Linked DNA regions of Drosophila melanogaster. The protein of the gene in region 3 interacts with the protein of the main gene of each other region in a pairwise test. Each region holds a gene or a part of one and is shown on either strand. Other genes may lie near its edges.

Region 1 (7,207 bases), on a different chromosome or scaffold from region 3:
AGCTGGTAAGTGCCCTTTGAGCCAAGTTTCTGCCCACAAGGATAGCGTCTGAAAAAGTTCCTTTAACTACTAAGTGGAGCTGGAATCCAAATCTGCAACATTTTAGTTGAAGTTCTTAAGATCCGAGGATCCTAAGTTCCAGATATTTTTCAAACTACAGATGTATCTTATTACATTTAAAAATTCCATATTTTTTTAAAATCTTTTCAAAGCTTTTCGCTACCTTCGTGGCCCTGGCGGTGGCCAAGCCACAACACCAACCTGCTGCCCAGTATCCGGCTGGCGTGAATCCGCAGGACTGCCCCAACTTCCCCATCTGTGATAATGCGCGCCTGCACAATCCGCAGCCGCAGTGGGGTGCCCCGCAGCCACAGTGGAACCCCCAGCCGCAGCCACAGTGGAACCCGCAGCCACAGTGGCAGCAACCTCAACCCCAGTGGAACCCCCAGCCGCAGCCACAGTGGCAGGCACAGCCCTCGTGGAACGCAGCCCCTGCTGCCGCACCCGGTGGCGATAAGTATCCAGCTGGCGTCAATCCGCAGACCTGCCCCAACTATCCCTACTGCGACGTGAACGCCGGACACGCTGGTGCTCCCGTGGCAGCTCCTCCTCTACCTGGCTGGACGGAGCGTCTGTATCCCGCCGGAGTTTCGCCGCACCAGTGCCCCAACTTCCCGTACTGCAACTAGGGCGGCCTAGGGCTCACTTGCGGCCAGCCGCAGCTTCCTTTAACGCTTCGCCTTTCCCCAGTTCTCAATTAGTGGACATTAATCTGAAATTCTTTGTTGTTGGCGCCGAAATAAATGCAAAATGTTGGTCAAAGAAATGGGACTTTCTATGGTTGATAGCTGCAGATACATGGGGGTATACAAATCGTTCTATTCGCAACTACAACTTCTTACTATATTACAAAATGTAATTGTTGGTTGGTTCATAGAACTCTTACTAATGAAGAAAAGATTAATTGACCAAAGTAAGCATTTATAATTAAATAAAGTAATTTGAACTGTCTACAATCAGAAACTCATTCAGTCAAGTGCGCTAAATGAGGTATGAAAGAAGACTGTTAAGATCCTGCTCCATGAAACTTGATTTACAGAAAGGAATGATCCTGCTACTTTAAGCTTGAATTATATGACGGAAATATCCCAAATTCTCAAGTTAAATTGATAAGAGTTCCGAAAGTGTAAAAGGTATATACTTAATTAAACATTTCCACTGCCCTAGGACCAGTTCTAGCTGAAAAGCGTGCTGAACTAGGAACCAAGAGAGCTCATGCCCCGAGAATGTGCCCTGCCACGCCCCTGACTTGCAGCACAGTAAGTACTTGGGCAAGGAGCGGAGTGGACGGACCGGACCGGATCGGATCGGATCGGGTTCGTGGAGATCGTAGGAAGGGAGAGATCGGAGCGGAGCGGACGCGGACTGGCGGTCGACCTCAGTCGGAGCTGGTCAAGTGAGTGCTTTGTGAAAGTCGTTCTTGCAAAACTTCGGCTTAATTGCCGCCTTTGGGAGACCGGCCCAAGGTCAAGTGCAACTGCAAATTACAGTCTTGCAGTGGGATTAACTAATGGAGCAATGATCCAATCGAACCTATCACATTCCCGACCAATTCACCTGAAATATGCGTGCAATCATTGCTTTATTTATAATCAATATAGCATTGCCCCATTTTTTTTGCTCTTTTTTGGCAGTGTGTGAAAAAAGTGCAACTCACGAAAGTAATTTTACAAACAAATGTAATGGGAAGTGATTATGGGAAACTTATTGCATGAAAAGGAATATTCGAATTCTTGGAATCCAAAACGATTGAACCAAATGAGATGAGATATAGTTATTTCGGTACTCTACGATGATTATTCCACTTAAAATGCAGATCGATTTGTAAAAATTCAAGTACTTTATTGCTACAATCACAGTACAATTTATTACTTGGCAATGGATCACATTCAGATGAAGAGAGGTCCTCCTAAGGCGGCGTAAAAAGAGTACGCCACTAGCCAGGAATAAAGGCAAATAACTGAAGCAATGGGGAAAAATTAAGGGATTGTGAAATCTTAGATACACTTAGCTACTTACAGAACATTATAGCATACGTGATCATTACCCAGAAACAAACGGCGAGTATGACGTCGGATACTATCAATATGAGCATTGCTACCGCCATGATCATAGTCATTATTATGTAGAAGAGCATCCAGCTGCTCCGTAACTAGATCAAATCATAAGTATTATAATTTGAAACTAATCAATTGTACTGGTATCTCACCCGTATACTGCCGATGATCAGGAAAACGCAGCTCAGGATGTGCAGCATAACGAAGATAATGAATAGGGTGTGACCCAAATCGGGAATACCTATGGGTGTTAGGATCATATCCTTGCTCTCAAGTATCCTGCTTCACTTACCCGACTCCCCAAATAAAGCAACAAATGTGCCTCCAAGGATATCCGCTATAATGTGCAAAATCCCTATTGCTATGGTTCCGATTCGCAGATCCACGCAGCAGCAGCAACTCTGTAGATATATCATGGTGCAAATGTGGTAGTGTGTCTATTTGTGGCTATTTGCTATCAGGGTATTAGTATTTGAGTATCTGAGTATATGGGGTTTTTATTTTATGTGTACAAGTTCTGTCACTGATAACAAAAATCTTTTGAAAAATATTACTTAACAAGTAGGTTATATTCTACCATCTTATATAGTATATAAATATAGAGATAAGCAAGTTTCGAGTCTTCAAAAGTAACCATCTATCCTAATCGCAACAACTTAAAAAGCCTCAAATAACAAAATCGTTATTTCATTCCCATTAAAAGTATTTGGTTTATTAGATTACTTGTGAGCCATCAAACACTAAGGTTCCACTTCAGGGAATCCTGCCATAAATACGCCAGGATTGTTCTGTGTACAGTCGAATTGTGATTTATTTACATTCATTAACTTAGCATTGTACAGTATTTACAGGCTGCTTCAGATGGGACTGGCTGAGTGGGTGGGTTTGAAGACAAGCAGGCCAGCGGGCAGATGGCTTACAGCCAGCCGTGTCCGTGGTGGGAGCTCCAGCCGTGGTGGTCGTGGTGGTCATCGAAGACATGGTGCACCGGGATCTCCTCGTGATGGACGTGGTGCACCGGCACGGGGATCTCCTCGTGGTGGACGTGGTGCACGGGCACCTCCTTGTAAATGGGCACCGGCACGTGCTTCACCACCGGCACATGGACCTTCTGAACGTGATGGTGGTGCACCGTGTGCACCTTGTAGGGCACGTGGATGGTGTGGTGCTCGCTGCGGATCGAAAGTGAAATCGGTTAGATCGAATGCCATGTACCATCGCCTGTTAGCTAATCAGTTGCTTGAACCCAGCGTCTTGGCAGACATGGCTATTGCATATTGGCTATTGGCAATTGGCAATTGATTCGCACAATTATGCGCGCATTACGCTGAATTAAATGCCAACCGCCGCCTGCGAAATTCCTAAGCCGCGAGCCAAGCCAAGTCGAGATCGGCTAAGTTCAATGGTAGCCAGTGGTGGGCACCATATAGAGACTGCTGGAGGGGGCTGGGGCTCTAAGTGCTACAAGCGTTTTGATTGCTCAATTCGATCGCAATCGGACACATATTTCATAGACCCACGGAGCAGTCGCAGCGTTTAAAAAGCCATGCGACCGCTCGTTAGCTTAGCATAAAGCGGGAAATGGGTATTTTTATCGATTCGCTCGGGTTATTTATGGATCAGTTCAGGTGCAGATCGCCGCCGATACTCACTGTTTGCCAAAGAAGCCGGGACTGGGTGCGCAGTAGGCCACGGCGAAGAGGGCGACGAAGATCTGAAAGGGGATAAGGAAGTTAGTAAGTTAGGTCCGGCTAGATTAACGCAAATAGCTAACTAATCAGTGTGATTAGTTTTAATTTGGCACTTCAAAATTTATGTTCAATTCTGGTGAAATCTAAGTAATCTAATGAAATGTTAGTCCGCGATTGATAAACATAAACTAATATTTTTGGGTGAATTTATATTTCTGCAAAATAAATGCTTTCGCAGTTTCTTGAAATATCTATTCGAGACTTTTTAAGCCATCAGGCGATCTTGGTGGTATATTTCCAATACTTCGGTTATCGAAGTCAGTTTTCAGTGAGTTTGTTATGTTTCAGTTGGTTAGTTTTATTCACGATAGTCCACATGAGTTTAATCCTTTTCAGCTCCATTCCGCGGAGGTTTGGCTTAACACTTTTTCGAACGTTATCCTTGTCGCACTTACGAATACTTTCAGGACGGACATGGTGGCTGGGCTGAGCTCTGCTGCACTCGAAAGGCGATACTAAAACCGGAGCACTGTCAGGTGGTGACTGATAACCACAGGCTGCGACTCATCCGTTTTATACCGGGCGCCAGCAGCGCTTTGTGTTGTTGCTGCAAGCCGACTGCGCTGCACGAGAAAGACGTGACGTCGGTGCAGCAACAACAGCAGCAGCAGCAGCAGCAACAACAGCAGCAGCAACTTCAACGGCCAAGCGAAAATAAGCATAACAGTGGACGCGCGACTGTTAACATGGCCAACATGGTGTAGTGATATGTGATTTGTATTAACCGTCGTTGGCATCTGTTTACGAGGGGTTAAGACCCTCTGGTCGGTGGTAAAGAGGGACTGGGAGCGGTGGTCCATGCTTCAGTTGTCCACAATGGCAGACGATCGAACTTTGACTTGGCGGGGCTTTGTGTAATACGGGGCAAATTACGTTCATTTCATAATCATAATCGCAAGACAGAGCGCGGAGTGGAGCTAAAATCATTCCGAATGCATGACCAAGTAGCACATATACCGCCGCTGACTGGATCACTTAGCGGCCTTCTGTAGACCGCCGCAAAAAGTGAACGTGTGCGGCCGGAGACAAAACAAAGTTGTCACGCTAATCCAAATTTCTTGGCCCTTCCATATCGCTTGGAAGACATCTCCACCAATCGACCTTGAATGTCTTCTGTGGTAATAGTGGTAACTGTCGTCGCTGGTGTCAATTGATGTGGGTCAGCGTTGGAGCTACAGGAGTCCAGTCTTGGATGTATCCCCAGCGAAACTCACATCACGACGCATGGAGCACGAAACACGTACGCCGTAAATTTGCAATAAAACGCATTTCGGGCAATTACTTAACAGTAGCAGTAGATGTGGCGCTAATCAAGCAATGCATCACACGATTTTGAAGAAATTCCATTTTGATTGTGTTTGTGTGGATTTGTATTGTTTTTGCCCATTCTACAATGCCACAATGCCCCTGACATAACGCTGGCCACGTCAGCTGCTGTTGCAACTGGTTGTTGCATGTTGCATGTTGCTGCCGTGCTGTGCTGTTAACTCAACTGTCAAGAGCTTCAATTTGCGGCGTGCTTAACCCATTTAAGGCTGAACAAGGAGCTTCCGTTCAGAAATATAATCTATAATCAAAATGGGGTAAGTGATATATGCACTACTAAGTCTCCACAAGATTTTATATCTTTAGTCTGGCAACAAGATAAACAGAGTATTATAGTTCAACCTAATAAAAAGTGGCTCCAAACGGGTTAAACCATTAGTATCACTCGCTGTTTTTTTCTTTCACTCACTCGGCTTTCATGTGTATATATAGGCCAGTGTGCTTTTACTGCGTTTGAGGGCGCACCACTGCCATCCTGCCCCACCGAGCCATCGAACCACCAAAACACCGCACCATCGGCTTTCCCCACCCCGTTCGCCGGGATGTTATTGCATTTGCGGCAAATTGCTCGTTTTAGCCATGCCAAATTGCATAATGGATATTTGTCTGAGCGATAAATATGCCATAGCTTCCATGCCACGCCCCCCCGGCCACCCGACCAACCCGCGCCCCTTCTAACCATGCGTGCCCGTGGGCAAAACCAAACAATAATCCACCCGGTGGCCGCTGCGGTGGATGATTACTTTCGCTTTCTGCGAACGCGCTGGCGAATCGGCTCGGTTCGGTTTGGTTTGGTTTGGATCGGGATCCCGGGATCTGCACATGCAAATACTTCCTGTTGGGTGAGTTTTGACTTCTGTGAATGTGGACCACTCGAAAAACTCGGACCAACTCCAGATGTTGTACGGAAAGAAATTGGATCGAGGATTCGATGGTAGAGATGGGATTAGGGAATACGACGGGTAGTATTATTCCACCTCTTAAACAGATCTAAAATACATTTTGATTCGTATTGAATTTTATGTCTTGGGGTTCTTTGGAATCTGGAATCCATTTATCATACACAAGTTATTATTGTATAGCTATATATATGATTCTCATTAGATGCACTAACAGGATCACAGCTCCAGCGGTTACTTATCTGCTCTCAACTTGGGATACATTTCTCGCTGTGCAACAGGATCTATTAAGTCAGATTCGAACAGCTGGCCACTGGACTCAGGCTCCAATTGAGACTGTGTGACGCACATGCGGACTCAATGGACCACTCAGCACCAACATGATGTAAAACACGTCAAGTGCTCGTCGTTATGTATGGCCAACCGAAGTGGCCGTCTAATTGGACGGCGGAACATGACCGGCTGTTCAGTCTATCGGTTGAACATGAGTGGACAAATCGTTTGTGATAAAAGCGAGCAAGATTGATATGGAATATGCGGCTCATAAATCATTCTAGCGCGTTCCATGAAAGATAGATGTACGCAGAAATAGGATTTACTGCTTAACTAGCAAAAGCGCAGCTTTGAATAGCTCACATGCATATTCGTGTGTCGTAATGCATTTTTGCAAATTACTAAGGTAAATCTGTGAAACTGCAAAGTGAATTGTGCGCTTCAGCCAAAACTTAAAGATGTTAAAGCAATTTCGTTGCTAAGATGTTGCTTGTTATATGAATAGGTATGGTGAATTAGCGGAAGAAAAAGAGACTGTCCCAAAATGGCTTAGGTTTGGAAAGGATTTGAACACAGAGATTGATTAACAAGTAAGTCTTGTCTATCAAAAATACAGATCACGTTTAAACTAATCATAAATAGAATAAAAATTGCCAGCTTGCACTTTCATGTTGACGAAATTCAAACTTTTATCAAATCATGTTCCCATGGATTTGCATATGCGTGCTACTAAGCCAACACGGATAAGTGGTTTTGGTACGTGTTATCAGCTGGGTCCTCCTGCTGGCCCACAACTGCCAATCACCTTTGGCCACGATTTATGCGCCCTCGCAGAAATGTT
Region 2 (8,523 bases), on a different chromosome or scaffold from region 3:
TACGCAGCTAACGCCTAGCAAGCTGCTGGCCGAGAAGCTGGTCTTTTCGCCCGTTCCGGCGCCCAAACGATCGCTGGGCGCCATCAGCGAGGAGTCGTCTATGGACATTGGCAAGGAGCTGGATCGCTATCAACTGGAATTGGAGAACAGCATCAACGAGGCGAAGCTACGGAAGAATGGCGTGCTGGTGGATAGAGAGTTGCCCAGGAATAGCTTGGAGGTGGAACTGCCCAAGAACACCAAGGTCTCCTTGGTCATGGAGACCAATACGCAGGAGCTGATGATGCAGGAAGTGGTGACGGTGGACACTCAAGTGGAGAGGCGTCTGGTTTGCACCAGACGACGCACACTAACCGAGATTAGCGAGGCTTCCGAGGTGGAAGAGGACACGGAGAAGCTGCTCGAGCAGGACCGCGAAGCAGAGGTGATTCTCGAGCAGGAGAAGATTCTAGAGCAGGAGATGGTCTCAGAGCGGGAACGACATTTAACGAGGGAGAAGCAATTGAAGCAGGAGAAACTCCTAGAGAGGGAAAAACATTTGGAGCGAGAGAAGCTGCAGGAGAAGCTGCACGAGCAGCTCAGGGAAAAGCTCCAGGAGAGGGCCAAGCATCTGGAGAAGGAGAAGCTGGAGGAGGAGGAGCTCCTGGAAAGGCAGCTAGAAGAGGAACGGGAAAAGGAGCCAACCGACGGCGATGTGGCCTATGCCTCCGAATCCGAATCCGACGACGAGCCCGATGATCTAGACTTCAAGGCACCCGCGCGCTTCGTTCGCGCCTACAGACCCGCCGCTCTGCCCTCCAAGGCGGCCAGCAAGGAGTCGCTGCAGTCCATCGGATCAAGCAAGTCCGCCAAATCGGCAGAAGTTAAGCCCAGTATCGGAATGAAAGGCATGATAAGAAAGTCCATTCGAAGACTGATGCATCCCACGTCGCACACCACGCCATCCGAGGTAAAGTCCGAGGACAAGGATGAACATGGACATGGACAGGGCCATGGACAGCACAACATACTCAATAGCATTCGGCACAGCCTGCGCAGGAGGCCACAAAAGGCGGCCGAGTTGGAGGAGCAAATGGAGCCCGTTCTCGCCGACGTCTCCATTATCGACACCAGCGAACGGACCATGAAGCTCCGCTCGAGCGTTGCCCAAACCGAGTACATGACCATCGAGCAGCTGACCAACGAGAAGAAGCACTCACTGCGGAACAGCATTAGGCGGTCCACGCGGGACGTGCTGCGCCATGTGTTCCACAAGAGTCACGATGCCTATGCAACCGCCAAGTGAGCAGGTTGGCTCCACAGATTCAATTGGTGCGTCGATTTTTAGGGGATTTCAAATGGCATTTCTGTAACCGAAAGCATTTAAATTTATTTGTTATTATTTTTGAAATGCGCCTTCCCCTTGTTGAATTGACCCAATTGACTTCTTTTCAATTCGATTTTTCAGCACCTAGTTAAGTTTTTAATTGCACCCAAAGATTGTCACACAAGACCAGCGAAAAAAGGAAAGGAAACCTTATTTCATCTGAAAACCACATCATCACCTAGTTTTTAATCAAGTTTTTTTTCTTAATTTTTCAAGCGAACTCTGCAAATTAATTTGCACACTGTTTATAGTTTTAAGTTACTTGATGTTTGCACGTTTATTCATATATGTATGTATGTATGTTTGCCCATATATCTTTATATATATATATATATATGCTTTCTAATATATATAACATTTGTTTTTTTATACATAAACGTGTGATTTCCTATTCTTGGACCGATTTTTCCGACTAATTTGTGTGTACAGATGCATCAATTTAATGCTAATGACTAGCAAACATTTAAGTTGATAAGTTAATATACTTGCTTAGCTTATGGACATTTTTGTATAGCTTTCAATTATTCATTATCCCGTTTGTCCGGACATTTCTCTCTTGAGCGGACTGCCATCCTGGAGCACACCTACTTGTAGACAGTTTGGAGAAGGGGTCGCCGCCGCTGGTCGATGGGCTTGTAGGCGTGCTGATAGACACTGGCCAATCGCCAGTGCTCTGGATAGCCGCCCTGACCCGCTCCGCCCGCTTGGCTTTGGAAGGGCGGCACCAGGGTTTCGATGTCGTAATTCTTTTTGGCATACGGCTGCCGGGGGCGTGGCACCACCAGAACCCTACCACCGCCACCGCCACCTCCTCCGCAGCCCGGTTCTATTCCCACGAAATCACCGGAGGCATTATGCTTGGGCACTCCGGCGCGAAATGCCGCCTTACTGGTCAAGCAATGTCCGTGTCCGTGTCCATGTCCATGGTGATGACCATGTCCGCCGAACGATGGGGGACAGCATCTGGGAGCTGGAGCCACCTTGTGGCAGAGACGTCGAGCTGGACGCCGGAGGAGAACGTCTCGCTTGCATGGTGGACCACCCGTTGGCCGGCAATCCATGGCCCTGCAATCCTGTCCAGAGTCCGGACCCAAATATTTCTCCCTCAAAGCCTGGTAGGCTTTGTCGCCCAGCAGGGGTGACGATTGATACTGCTTGGCTAGACGATCGGGCATCCCGCGACCGGGTAGCTCCGCCAAATTGCCGAAACTCACACCGCCAGTTGGACCGCCGATGCCCGATCCTCGCCTGCAATGCGATGCACTGGAATCGCGGGAGACACTGCGTGCTCTTTGTCTGGCCGGTGGCGAGTAGTCGCAGGCGCACGGATCCTCGCGATCCACACGGGCACCGCCAAAATCCGTTCGCTTCCTCAGGATGTCCTTGTCGAAGAAATCGGCCTCACCAAGCGTGCTGGTGAAGACGCCAGCCGATCGGCCCAAGTCCGAGGACTGTTCCTCGCGAGGCGTTTTCACGCAGGTGAAGACAGCCGGTCCAGCGGAGTCATTGGAGCCATCTATGTGCCTGGCCAGGCGCGGCTCATCCGATGGATTCGCCGGCTTGAAGTCCCAACAAATGGCCAAATCCATGGGTCCCATCTTTTTGGCCGGAGCGGAGCCAACACCTCGAAAGGCATCGCCATTGCCGAGGGCACGTGGCACGATGCCACCGCCGGTCTTCGGACGAAAGACCTTCATCTTGGTGCAGTGCGTCGGACCAGCATTGTGCGTTTTCACACCCACGCCCGTGGCAATGGGATCGATTTCCAGGGCCAGGCCAGCATGTCCGCCGGATATTTGCGCTCGCCGGAATGCCAAATCGGCGACGCAATCGGGCAGCGGCTGGTGGTCCAAATTGTCCTGGTGCATCCGTTTGGCCAGCTCGAAATTGGCATATGCCGGCACCACTGGCGATGGACACCGCTCGTTGGGCTTCTCCGTGATCGAGTGCAGCGGCATCTTCTTGATCAAATCGGGTTCGGATACGGATACGGGATCGAGATCAAAGCTTCGTATACCCACCGTCGGCAATGAGATTAGATCCTTGCCCGGCTCCAGGCACGCAAAGCTCAACTCGCTGCTGCGCTCCAAGTGATCCGTATAGCGATTTTGGGCCGCTGCCAATGCCGGAAATTGACGACCGGCCGCCGAGCCCAGCTGCTCCCTGTACTTGATGGGCTGCGTGTCGCGCGTGTCCAAGGTGAGACGACCAAGTGGCACGCTGTCCGTGCTGTTGCGTTTCTGGTCGAGGAGCTCCTGGTGCGAGGGCAGCCGGAACTGCGGCTCTGTTAGGTCGCCCGGCGTGTAGCTCAGTTCCGGGAGAGCTGTTTGCGACATGATTGGATGGAGTAATGGAGTAGGTGGCTTTCAGGTTCGTTCACTTGTTGCAATGCGTTGGTGGTGCAGAATGGAATGGGATGAGATAAGATGGAGATGGAGATGGAGATGATAATGATGTATGATTTATGTACATATGTAACAGATGGTTTAACCTGGGTTTAGTTATAAAATATATATGCTATATGATTTGTGTTGAGTGCAATCGTGCTGCCCTTTAAAATGTATTTTAAACCTGCGGTTACAATGAATTTGATTTGAATTTCGGTTGAACAAAATAATGAAGTTTTACTAATGGCCCTTCGCCGCCTTGCGCTCTTTCTCCTTGCCCTTATCCTTCGTCTTATCCTTCTTGCCCGCCTCCTTGTCCTTTGGCTTGTCCTTCGGCTTGTCCTTGGGAGTGGCGACAGTCGCCGCCGGTTTCTCCGACGATGGAATCGGCTTGGTCAGCTCATTGGGATGCAATGCCGTTCGTCCTTTGGAAAAGGCGGTTATGGTGCGCTTTCGACGCCGCTTTTCGGTGGCCACACCCGTCGTCTTGATTGCCTTCGGCGTCATCTTCACGGTTTTCTCGCTCTACGGTTGCAGGTGAATGTGAATGTGAGTGTGCAGGGTGCAGGATGAAAGTGCAAAAAGTGCAACCAGAAATGAAAATATGTATAGCTTGGTTGCAGATAACTCAATAATCTGGGTGCACATAATTGGTAAGAGGTGACACCGATGGTGACCCCGATGGTGACCCCGATTCCCACTCACCACCACGTCGCACTTGGCCCGATTGCAGCGCGCACTCCGCTCGCTCAACGCCCTCAGCTTCTGTAGTCCCTCGCACTTCGTCTGGCACCGTTCGCGCATCCAGTAGGGATCGTCCTTGTGGCCCAAGGTCAACCGCTGATCGCAGGCCAGTGCCCTGCGGTTCTCTCGCTGACAATTGCACAGGTCACGCGGAAAGTCAACAAACTTGTACCGCCCACTCAGACAGGCATCGTAGTGGGCGCAAAAGGCACGGGTTATTCGACGCGGTAGCTCGTAGGTTCCACGATATTGGCCAAATGAGTTGCCCTCCCTGTGGATTAAAATTAAACTGTATAATTGTGGGGCATTGGCAATTGCTTACTTTATCACTTCGGGCAGCAGGTGACCGTTATTGGCCGCCACAACCTTGGCGTTCTTCTGCAGACCACGTGGGCGGGGTGGTGAGAATCGCGGATATTCCCAGTTGTTGAGACGCTTCGACTGGAATCGGCCTTCGAACTGCAACGAACGAGTAAGTAAGGAACTCGATGTCAGGGAGCTGGGCATGGGCATGGGCATGGGATTAGCCAGGAGTCGATAGACACCTGTTAGGAAAACGCGCACGCCCCCTGCGAGTAATGCCCTTATTTATGGTCCCAGCGCAAACAAGGCAATTGATAAAAAGAAAGAACAAAAAAAAAAAAAAAAATTGTAGAAGGAGCAGAGCAGAGCAGAGCAGTAGCCCACCCCGCAGCCGTGGCCAAATGTCAATCGAAAACCGGAACCCACCCCGGGCGAATGGAGGTGGGGCCAATTACACGGCGTAATCTCTACGCTGGAACATGTGTAGAAAGGCATTTGTCTAATGCCACTTAATGCCTTGTTTGTGTTTGCCTTTCTAAAAATTTCCAACATCTCTGCGCGCGCTAAAAAACGAGCCACTGCATCTCATCCAAAGCCCGGACCATTTATCAGAAGGATTAGCCAGCCCTAAGCGGGCACAGGAGCAAGTGAGCCCGGCAATATGCCTGCAATTGAATTGGATTGAACTACTATGTGGCATAATTGAATATGAATATGAGAAGTGAAATCTGTTAAATGGAAGATCATCTCTTCCAAAAAAAAAAAAAAACATGGAGCAACATCCAACTTTGGGAGATTCAAAGCTTTCAGGCTGCGTGGTCTTCCCACGCGTACGAATTTCAATTAAGGAATGCAAATGGACCTTCGCTGGTAACTCGATACTCGGAGCGCTCCGAGTGTCACCACTTGATTGAGGCCTTGATCGATGGGTGCTGCAGTGGGTGTTCCACTGGGTGCTGATTCCGTATTGTGAGTGGGTGTGACAAGGGCGCACGTTCGCAGCGCGTGGCTGTTTTGTTGGTCAACCAGCATTACCGCATCGGCGCTGTAATTAAATTTGCACGGCAATTACGCAATGTAGCTGTGCGCTCGAACAAATTGCGGCGTGAAAAAATACAAATTGATTTTAAACTCAATTAGCAACAAAGGAGCTAACAGCACTTGGCTCGATGGTGTGGTATCTATGCTAACGCTACACAATAGACAGATAGATACAGTGATGGGATAGATAGATAGATTGGTAGCATATATGGGTAGAATAGTTTGCACCCCTTGGATGAGATGGTTGAGATGGGTGAGGTGGTCACCCCAGCTGGGTGAAGCGATGATTTTTATGGCAACCCTCTGGGGTGCAATTTATCACATGGTGTCCTTGCATTCTCGCATCCGCAGGATTAGACAGTCAAAAAGCTAGTTGGCAAACACGTGCACGGTTGAATCGCTGGTTTAGGCCGAGGCACTGGGGTTGGGCTAGAAGTTCGCCAGAATGAAGGTACTTCTCTACTTTCGGGTACTCTTGTATCGTATCTAATGTCGCACTTGTATCCACTGGTGTGTCCTGGTCGAGGCGACAAGCACTTAAGCTAATTTCACGCTCTGCCGCCGACTATCCTTTGGTCCAAAGCTCCTGTATCCTGTGGATTGTGCTCCGCCTCCTGCTTCTGCTTCTTTCAATGCTCCATTCAATTTTTCCAATTTCAATTTCCGCTGGCCGAACAGCTGTCGCCCTGGCCAATTGGTAAACCATTAACGCCAGGCGTTTCGATTGATTCTCGAGTGCGATTCGAATAGATTCTTTTCGAAATTCCGTCACCACCGCAGTTAACCGATTCCGTTGCGATTGTGTGTGTATATGGCGAATAGCTGTGGACTCCCAAAAACGAGTTGCGTGGCAAAGGTTCTGGTCCAAAGTAACCGTTACCAAGTAAATAAACTTTAACTGTCGCTATTTGCAAATGTGCAAAGGCGGCGGTGGGCGGTGGGCGGTGGGCGGTGGGCGGGGAGGAAATGAAAAAGCGAGCTCAAACGGTTATGGGAGCGGAAACGGTAACGGAGCGGTAGCGGTAACGTTATGCGTACGACACTCAAAAACAAGAAAACACCCGACATATATTTTCAAAAATAAATAAACAAAAGTTTAAAATTCGAGCAAAGGAAACACATGCCATTCAAAATGAGTTAATTTAAAATATATAAAAATATAAATAAAGAATAAAATATATAACTGGTAAAAACTAAAATATGCACACAACAAAACTTCCTTGTCGCCTGGCCTTTGTTTTTGTTTATGAACGCCAGTACACCCACACCCATGAAAATAGCACCCATACAGGGACAAACAGCCGATTGTCGGAATGCAGGAGTCGTTTTTCACTGGATAGAAAAGGATGGCGCCGAATCGAGTTGGTTGCCATTGCCACGTTTGTTGTTATTATTATTGCGAAAATGTTTACATCCATGGATCCACACAAATATATATATATGTATATATATATATACCCGTTACCCGTACCAACCAAATTAGGCCACTATTTATGGATATTGAAAACAGCCTCCCAATCGACTAGAATAAATTTGTCTTACCTGCTGTGCACTAAAATGAAGGGCCATTTCGAAATTTTGCACAAAAGTCGAAATTTCCGTGACGCTTTCACAGTTTCTAAAACAAAAAAATAAAAATGTATCCTCAATTTTTGAAAATTATGACAGAGGCTGCTCTACTTCGCTTTTACACAAATGGGCGGGGCTTGGCGCAAAGGACACGCCCGCTTTTGATACGTGGATACGTGGTTCTTGAAGGTTGGTGAAAAAGGGGGAACTGTTAGCATCTGGCTTTTCCGAGCAAAGCGTTCAGACAAATGGAAAACTCAGTCAGAGCAGCTGGTGTCCAAAAGTCGAGGGGAGTGTCGTGCAAAGGCGCGCCAAAATACATAAAGTAGACAATTTTTTATTGCGATTACAATGCTGTATATATTAATCGTTTGAGTATAAACAAATATCACGACTTAAAGGCTAGACAAAAAATGGATCTTAGTTTAAGGTTCTGTTTTTTTTTTCTTGGTTATTTATATTATATAAACCATGATCAAGGTTTACTCCGAGGATTAAGCACTGCTTTCCCATAAATTTAATTGTATGTACTACTGGCATATTTAGTTTTGTTATTTCCTTCGATATTTCTACTTTTCAATTAAATTACACAAACTAATAGCTTATATCTTCTACATTTAGTACGGGCATATTTTAACCTTAGGTTAAATCGTGGCTTTACAATTGTTTCTACGAAAACAAACCTAAGCCTAAAAAAAAAAACGAATCGAAACGAAACGACGGGCATTTGTCTTTCAACAGTGGCAAGGAAAAAAAAAAACAAAAAACAAAAAAATGTATGTATTTAACCATAGGTTAAATAGGTTAGCAAATCGGCAAAATCCATCGAACACTTCGGTTAAGTTGGTGAGATGGCTAATTCGATAATCGCATTATCCATAGCCGCCACCGGCAAAGTATCCAATGGAGCGATGTGCGGATTACAGAGCATGGTGAAATGCGTTTATCGGATGTGGAATATTCGCAATGTTTTCCCCCTAAATCCGCCCGCCACGCCCCCCCACCTCCTACGGGGGGGCGAAAAAATTGGCCTCGTTAAAGAGGCAGCTGGTGGCGAAACTGGAGGCGCCGGCGCTATCTCAGGGCGTCTCCAGCACATGATTCAAATAGGCA
Region 3 (7,989 bases):
GAACACCACTCCCAAGCCAGATGTGCCTAGTGAAACGGTGGCCTGGCAGTTGGTGCGTCTGTTCGCTAATCCCCATGAATCAGGACTCCGGCAGAGATGCACTCGACTCCTGCAGGCCTTGGCTCAGTACGAACCAGGGCTCCGGCAGACTTTGAGGGAAAGAAGACGCAGTTTTGATAACGCTGTACAAGGTCTTGGGGTCCATGGACTGACCACCGATGCCTCGGGTCAGCTTATTTCCCTACATGTAGCCCTGAAAACCGAGCTGCAACGCCATGTGGATACCTACAAGATGGCCATTCACAAGCTGGAGGAGCTGAGCATGGTGACTGTCAACCAAGACCCTGCTCACTCCTCCCATCAACGATTGTTGGCCATCAATTATGGGGATATTCAGCAGCGACTGATCGACAACAAGACCCTGCTCACAATGCTAGACAAGCCGGCTCTCAAGCAGCTCCAAACCCTGGTCGAGAACCTCAGCACGCGGGTGGAGAACGACAAGGAGGTGCTCACCTGCGTGGGTCAGGTGCGTCGTCTGGACGCACAGGCGCTCGTGGAGAAACGCCCTGCCGCCGGTCTGCTGATGAACTTCTCCCGCGGCTGCGAGGTGGTGCTCCACATGATGGGCCCTGAAGGAGGTCCTCCGGGCTCCTCCCACTCCATTGGAAAGACCACTCCCCCAGGCGGCGCTAGCACGAGCAGCTGCAGCGATGGATATCACTCGGACGACTCTGGAAGCGATGACAGCAGGTAAAAAACATACATAAAGAATACATACAAAACCTAATTCTTACACTTGACCGAGTTCCAATAAGGTGCAACACCCACATTACAAACTCAGTCAAATCAGATCGCGACCGCATCCAACTCTCACCTGCCCGCATCCCACACTCTGATTTGTGATTCCATTTCTCTATCTCCACAGCGAAATGGTGTCGCTCTATCGGAATCTCTACGTCGAGAACCGAGCGGACGCCTTGGAGGCGTTGGACAGTCTTCCCCAGATAAAACACGCGCACAGCCTCAAGGGGAAGATACTCTTCTCCATGATCGTGGTGAGTCTGAAGTACCTAGCATTCGTATGTGTTTTGGGATGGGTTGTAGATTGTAGATACAGTAGATATGTCCGAACACTCAATAATGGATTGTTAAAGAGGCCGAACGTATTTCGAGATTACCTCGATCGGGAGAAATTAGTGCCAATTGCGAGTCGGCCTTGTTTTCACTTTTTTTTTTTTGGGAGATAAGTAAGTTTTCTATTGGGTGTGTTCGCTACCATTATTTGTATTACGTTGTATTTAATTTCGTTGCTAAACTTTAGGTGGCTGAGAAAGAATTTGAGATTAAATCATGAGGAGAAATTATTGCCAGTCAATCATTCACTTGTCTTTGGAATATAAATCGCTAGCAACATAGTTTTACTTTTATAATTATCTCCTTCGTTTTCACTTGTCAAGACAGTACGGAGTTATTTGTGATGAATAGCCTCAATTTATTATGGGCGTTCATAATCTTTCAGCGTGCCAATTCCATGTCAATAACACTTTAACTTTACAATGCTAATAGATATTTTTCTATACAATTCTTAAGGCTATTCAAATAGAATAAAGCCCTTGTCAAAAGTGAAAAAATAGCGATTGTTTTAAAATTGGGACGAACTCTTCCAATTGGCATTTGGCAGGTCAAAAGCTGATAAACTTGATCTTGAAGTAGCTCAGCGTACGAACTGCTTGCACTGCTTTCGTTTGGAAATTTAGCACAGCACAATGACTCTCAAACTGTGAGACCAATTCATCCAGCGAAGATTACTTTCAATTTTCAAGTGCTTGGCCATCAATTATTTCCAGCCAAGCCCGTGGGCTCTGGATGCTTTAAATCCTGTCGGACCACAAACTGCGATTGCAAAATATCAATTTTGCAAGATCGAATTCGCACTAGAGGATGATTAGGCGTTGGTGCAGTGAAAATGTGAGGGAAAGTGGAGCCCCCAGGGTGTCAGAAAATTACGTAGGCGCTTGGGATTTGAATCACTTTCGATCTCAGATGAACGACACTTTTGCAGGGAAATGGTACCATCAAGATTAGTTGATAATAATAAGTCACATATTTATGATTTTCGAAAAACTATTTATTCATTCATAAGTAAGTCTAATTAGATAGTCATCTAATTGATAATTTTCTTAACTTATTGGTACTTGTGTAGCTCTCCTTCCGCCTGTGCCACGGAATGCGGGAGCGAAAGGTCCTGGAAGTTCGGCGAGTCCTGAATTGCCCCTTGGACAGCAGCAGTGAGACCACCTTGTCCCTGGACAGATCCGTTCGCCAGCACCTCTTCGAGACCGCCGAGAGTTTCCCGTTGGGCGAGATCGAGCGGTCGGTGTTCAACCAGGTGCTATCTACTCTGCACGAGTACCCCTGCCTGGAGTCCTGCCCCCCGTTGACGCACTACGTCAGTGCCTGTGTCCGACTGGCCTGGAGGATGATCAACCAGAAGGCGCCGTACTACCTGGACATGGACTTCAACCTGGGTGGGTTTTAAGCTACTCTTTAATCGTTTAACAATCTTACACCTACGTAAATCCCATGCAGGTTTCCTGAGGCCCGAGAAACACGAGCGGCATCCCCAGGCGGACCGGCGATCGGATCTGATAAAAGCCTTCCTCTGGCCCGCCCTGATGCAGAACAACCAGTGCGCCTTCAAGGCGGTGGTGGCCACCTGAGCATCGTCTTAAGCTAACCCCATTTGTACATACTTGCCCTCTCTTATGCAATAAAGATTTGACCCCTAGCTAAGCGTAACTGATGGGACGGAGTTGGACGCACTGGCTCCGGACCTTGTTGGTGCAGAGAAGTGGATGCTCCGTGTAGAACTCCACGATTTCCGAGGGGGATCCGAAGCAGCGCTCCTGAGACTTCTTCTGACCAATGGCATAGCGTTGTCTCCTATCCACTTGCCTTATGAACAGGTGATAGTACTGATCCGCCGCCCAGATGCTCACTATGTAACGGATCCACTGGTCGGCTGCCTTGAAAGGTCGAACCAGGCAGGACCCGTCCTCTCGTCCATGGAGCATTCGCTCCGCCGTAGGACGATCCACTGTGAAGTAGTACTGCTCCTTTTCCACATGCCTCTCCTCAATCTCCGCGTAGTTGACATCGGCATCGTCTTTGCGGAATTAAAAATGTTGTATTAGTAATTGGACCTATTTACCGCTTAATCTTCTAATTGAGTATTACTCTACATTAATTTATGCCTCTGTAGTTATCTATTATTTATCAAATTTCGATCATTTAAACTTAAATTCGAGTTAAATTTAGCTCTACGAACTGTATCGTGCTTTCTGTTTTGGTTTATATGCCGTCACTCTGGGGATTTGGCTTTGTTTTGAAACCGAGAGATCGATGCGTACTCACCCACAATGACGTAATCCTCACGGGGCTGCTGTTGTGGATCGTCGTCGGTGCTGGAAACCCGTTCTGCGACGTCACCTTCCTGACTGGCCTGCCGCTGATAACCGAAGCAGCAGCTACAGAAGGTGGGCGATCTGACTTCCATCAGGCTGTCCATCATGCGAGCCAGGAGATTGTGCAGAACCGTCCAGTAGACACGTGCACACCAGCAGCACATGGCGCCAAACGACACAGTAGAGCAGTCCTATTCCCGCGACCTTGGATTAGATGGATCGGTGGCACTGAGACCGCCGCTCCCGGCAAACATCTTTCGCTATCGAGCTGCGCTGAAGACTGACTACTTTGTGACCAGAACCAGACGAGGAACCAGAACCAGAACCCAGAATTCAGAGCCCGAGAACAGAAGCCGTCTCGTCTGGCAGTGCTTATTAATTAAAATGTGTCTACTGCTCGGTTGTGGGGCGGCAGAAATGTTCATATTTAAATAAGATATGGATATGGCTGGTAAACAAAATTCACATTGGCAAGAACGCGGGAACTCGGATAGTTTGAAGCCCGGCGAGTAACTGGATACTCCGAGTGCAGTGGGGAGATCAGCTCTCTGTTCTTATACACAATGAGAAATGCAGTCAACCTTTCTGTGCTTAATATCTCACAATTTAATTATCTGTAATGTCTTTATATATAGAGAGATCCACTGAAAGAACGCAGTTTAAACGTACATAACGAAAATAGGATTATTTTTGAGTGTACAATTCTTTGCAGTGTACATGTGGGCAACGACAATTATTAAACGTTTAGCACCCATGCATTTTCCATACCCCCCCCCCCCACCATTTTTCCGACTGACTGTGGAATTCATTGAATGTGCCTGCAATTTTTGGTGGGGAGGGGTTCCCCATATCGCATTTCTGCGGCTCTACATAACCGAGACCGAATGGATACGAGTGGCCAACATATGGATCTGAGCCGTTTGCCCGCTCTGCTAAAAAGTTTGAGAACTGAGTTTGTTTTGCTGATCTGTTGTTTTTATTAATGAGCTGTTGATAGTGCTGGTTAAGTCCCATTTGATAGGCATTCAAAAAATTCTATAATTATAAATCCTATAAATTGTAAATATGACTTTTTGGTCCAAGCTCGATTTCCCTGTTTTTGGTTAAAAAATAATGCGTTTTTTGGACACAACTTTGAAAATAATGGTTCAAAAGTGGAGTGGCATATCTTATTTTACTCCTAATTAACTTCCCAATCGATTAGTGTTCAAATTTGGAAACTTTAAATTTTTGCGATTTTTTGCAAAATTTGATGATGTTACCCCTTATAAAAATTCGAAAATTGACAAAAAAATTTTTTTTTCTTAATTCGAAAAAACGGGACAGGGATCGTAAGCATTGGTAATTAGCTGCACAAAACAGTAATTATTTTTACTTTACGACCATTTTCAGTCAAGAAATATTGAAAAAACCACTTGGAAACATGGATTATTTTGATCAACTAGTTTTTCTCATTTTCCATCCAAAATAATCGTTTTATTTTTACAAGGAAATTATCCATGTTAAAGATTAAATAATCATTTAAAGCGTTAAGCATTAGCTGAGACACAAACCTTTCGAAGTTTTACCGTAAGCTTACCAACGGCTGTGGTGAAGCTCTCCCGCTGTCTCTGTCACTCGCACTTCCCTGTCTCTCGCACAATTTAAATATTTCTTAAAATTCAAAAGCAATTAAAGTGCGGTCATAAATTGTGCGAGCTGACTACGCTCCGAATCGATTGCATTCAAATCTCCTTGTAAAACCCAAAATGGGCGTGCAAATTGCCAGCACGTGGACCCATAGATATGGTTCTAAAACTTACAGATCCGGGCAAAAAGAGTGCTGCTCAGTTCATTACGTATACGCCGGATTGGCTGCAGCAAGCATCGCGATTTTGTTTGCACATCTAAAGCAGTGACTATTCGCTAGACAGAAGGCAAACATCTTCGCAGGCCAGTCACGTGCACGTAAATGTCAATAAAACGATATTCCCAGTCGATGGTGATGGTCCGATATGATATTGTAGTATGGGGGCATTAATAATACCCGATGCTCGAGCAATACGATCGCACTCCGCTTGACACAGTAGCAGCCCCAACATCGGGCAATTAATATGCGGCAAACAATTTTGATGAACTGCTAACAAGCCGATGGATCGATGGGGGTTTTATGGGGGCTTCTGGTTCTATACCGGGATGACAGCCCATAAAGCAGCACAATGGCACAAATTGATTTTGGCCAAACGATTATTTCGGGGGTTGCGTGCTCTTGGGCACATCCGCATCGAAAAGTAGTACCCCTCCGAAGCCAAGGATCAACCAGCTGGGCCATCAATATCAATGAGCGGATGCCGATTGATTGGCAGACCCGTCGATTCTTTATTGGTCCGTCTAAGAAAATACATATTGCCCATCGCGGTTTACGTCTCAATTATATTTGAGTGCCATTGAAAGTGTAAAGAACGTTCACAAACGGCGGCCAGAAATAGCGAGCGGAATCTCGGCGACAGCCACAAATCATAGCTATAAAGAAAAGAGCCAGCATATTTCGTTTACGATTATATCCGGACGGAGGCCAAGCCGTAGAACTGCAACTCTCCGCGCTTTTCCAAGCACTCAACAGGCGTCCGCAGCTCGCAGTCCGCAGCTCGGGGGCTCGTCCACTTTTCCCGAAGTCCCCCAGTTGGGTTACCCGATTCGGAAATCCCGAGCCCGAATCCCAACTGCTTGGGCTTGCTATCCGTGCGATTCATTCGCGCATTTTGCCGTCGAGCGTTGGCCAGCGCGGTGGATATTTCGCATATCCGCAGTGGAGAATCGCATATCGCAGCGGTATCAAGTTTTAAAATTCAGTTTCGAATGCCATAAAAAATAAATAATAAAATTAATAAACAAATCCGGTGCGTGTGTGCCTGTGTCTGTGCGGTTCCGTCTCAATGAAATGCCAAACTAAATAAGCTTGGAAAAGTTTTCCATCCAGTTTTTATGGCAACCCAGCGAGGCCCGAAAGAGTGTCAATTGAATTAGCGTCTCGGGCTATAAGAAAATAATACAGAGCCAAAGAGAGATTATCAAGACGCAACAGGTGATTGGATCGCGGATTTATGAATTCGCAAAGGTGTTTGTTTCTCTGATATATAAAACCACCTGTGGCTCCTCCTTCTAGTTTTAGGACCACTCTCTGGAAATCCAACTTCGATTCCAGGTAACTACACTAATTACCCCCAAAGTTTACTTTAATTTATATATAGTGCTAGTGCAAACAAACGAAAAAAGAACATATGTTAGAGAGCCGAAAAAGAAAATCGATAAAATTCGGACTCAGCATTATGTTTATGCTAACCGCAAAGGCAACTAAATATTTGCTTTTCGCAGCGGGGAAAGTCTTCACCTGTTGCACGTATCGCATGTCCTGTTGATTGGCTAATTGATAACATCCAGTTCCGGTCATCACCATCAGCCATATATCAATCCATCCGCACATCCATGCGGATCCCTCCATATATCCATTCGCATGTCCACCCACCCTTGACCCTGTCAGCGGGCAGCCCATTAAATCATCCCGAGCAAACAAATTAGCGGAACGAGTGCATCAATAAACAAAGTTCACCTGTTGCCCGCTTACTGCCGCGTAGCGAAAAGAAAAGACATCTGCAGTTTGCATTAGCGATACATCTTGTATCTTTTGGATGCCAGCCTCCTACTTATGGCGGATTTTTTGGAATTGCACTCGATGGGCAGGGAAATAAAGCAAACTATGGCGAAATGAACCGAGCAGGGCGAGTGAACATCAAAAGCGTTCGGTTCGGTTTGGATGGGATGGTATGGCACGGGCATAGGTGGAGAAGGTGGGGTGTATCTATCTATCTATCAGATGCACACGGCGCTTGTAACCGCAATTCGCATGCCACCGCCCACCGCCCACCGCCTACCGCCCGTCCTTCGACCTCCTCAAGTCGCCAGTGCTCTTGATTACGCCTTTGTGTATAAATTAATTAAATTAAAAGTTTCCGGTTAAGCCTCCGAACGCCGACAAACGCGGCGCTCGAACGCATTGCATTCGAAAGTGCAGAAATGTCCGATGCACTCGGTTCAGTCATTTCGACTTCGAGGAGCATTCGATGATTATCGCACCCTTTCGATTCTGCTGATAAAAGTGAAGAAATATTTATGCTTATATTTGAAGCATGAATGTGCAGCATTTGTGTCAACAAGTTGGCCGGGGTTTCCCCGTTTCAGCACTCACAATGCAATTGCAATGGCCTCTTATCACAAACTTAGGCCGATCCAATGAACTCAGTTTCCATGTTCATACTGCAAAGTTACAAAAGGCGCTGTTATAAGTGTGATAAAGAGATAAATATAGTAAATTATGCTGCTGAGGAAAGGCTATAGACCCATGTGGAAAATGGTGATAACATCGAAATAAATAGGTAAAACAATTGCAATGGATGATAAAGAGAAGCCATATACAAAGCAGGCTGTAAACTAGTCATAACAACACATTTCATGTGGAAATTATTTTTATAATTTCCTTTTAAAA

What was found. The genes of interacting proteins can lie anywhere in the genome.
Region 1: the proteins of CG15529 (region 3) and CG43183 interact in a two-hybrid assay, tested with the Drosophila melanogaster proteins (one large-scale study listed by BioGRID).
Region 2: the proteins of CG15529 (region 3) and CG3081 interact in a two-hybrid assay, tested with the Drosophila melanogaster proteins (one large-scale study listed by BioGRID).

The regions. Positions count from the first base shown.
Region 1 is NT_033778.4:8,587,647-8,594,853, reverse strand, and holds CG43183 (uncharacterized protein), read right to left. Parts: upstream 2,660-7,207; 5' UTR 2,534-2,659; coding exon 2,410-2,533; intron 2,359-2,409; coding exon 2,270-2,358; intron 2,213-2,269; coding exon 2,080-2,212; intron 2,021-2,079; coding exon 1,950-2,020; 3' UTR 1,885-1,949; downstream 1-1,884. Other genes in the region: CG8736 (uncharacterized protein), read left to right, coding at 1-5, 213-689; CG14752 (uncharacterized protein), read right to left, coding at 3,034-3,289, 3,770-3,831, 4,264-4,284.
Region 2 is NC_004354.4:4,637,375-4,645,897, forward strand, and holds CG3081 (uncharacterized protein), read right to left. Parts: upstream 3,789-8,523; 5' UTR 3,703-3,788; coding exon 1,951-3,702; 3' UTR 1,885-1,950; downstream 1-1,884. Other genes in the region: pon (partner of numb), read left to right, coding at 1-1,285; CG3062 (uncharacterized protein), read right to left, coding at 3,994-4,278, 4,459-4,768, 4,820-4,956, 7,384-7,410; HLH4C (helix loop helix protein 4C), read right to left, coding at 8,490-8,523.
Region 3 is NT_033777.3:30,147,823-30,155,811, reverse strand, and holds CG15529 (uncharacterized protein), read right to left. Parts: upstream 3,754-7,989; 5' UTR 3,632-3,753; coding exon 3,418-3,631; intron 3,170-3,417; coding exon 2,793-3,169; 3' UTR 2,724-2,792; coding exon of another isoform or gene 2,593-2,723; 3' UTR 2,532-2,592; coding exon of another isoform or gene 2,207-2,531; 3' UTR 2,113-2,206; downstream 1-2,112. Other genes in the region: CG11498 (uncharacterized protein), read left to right, coding at 1-753, 929-1,058, 2,207-2,531, 2,593-2,723.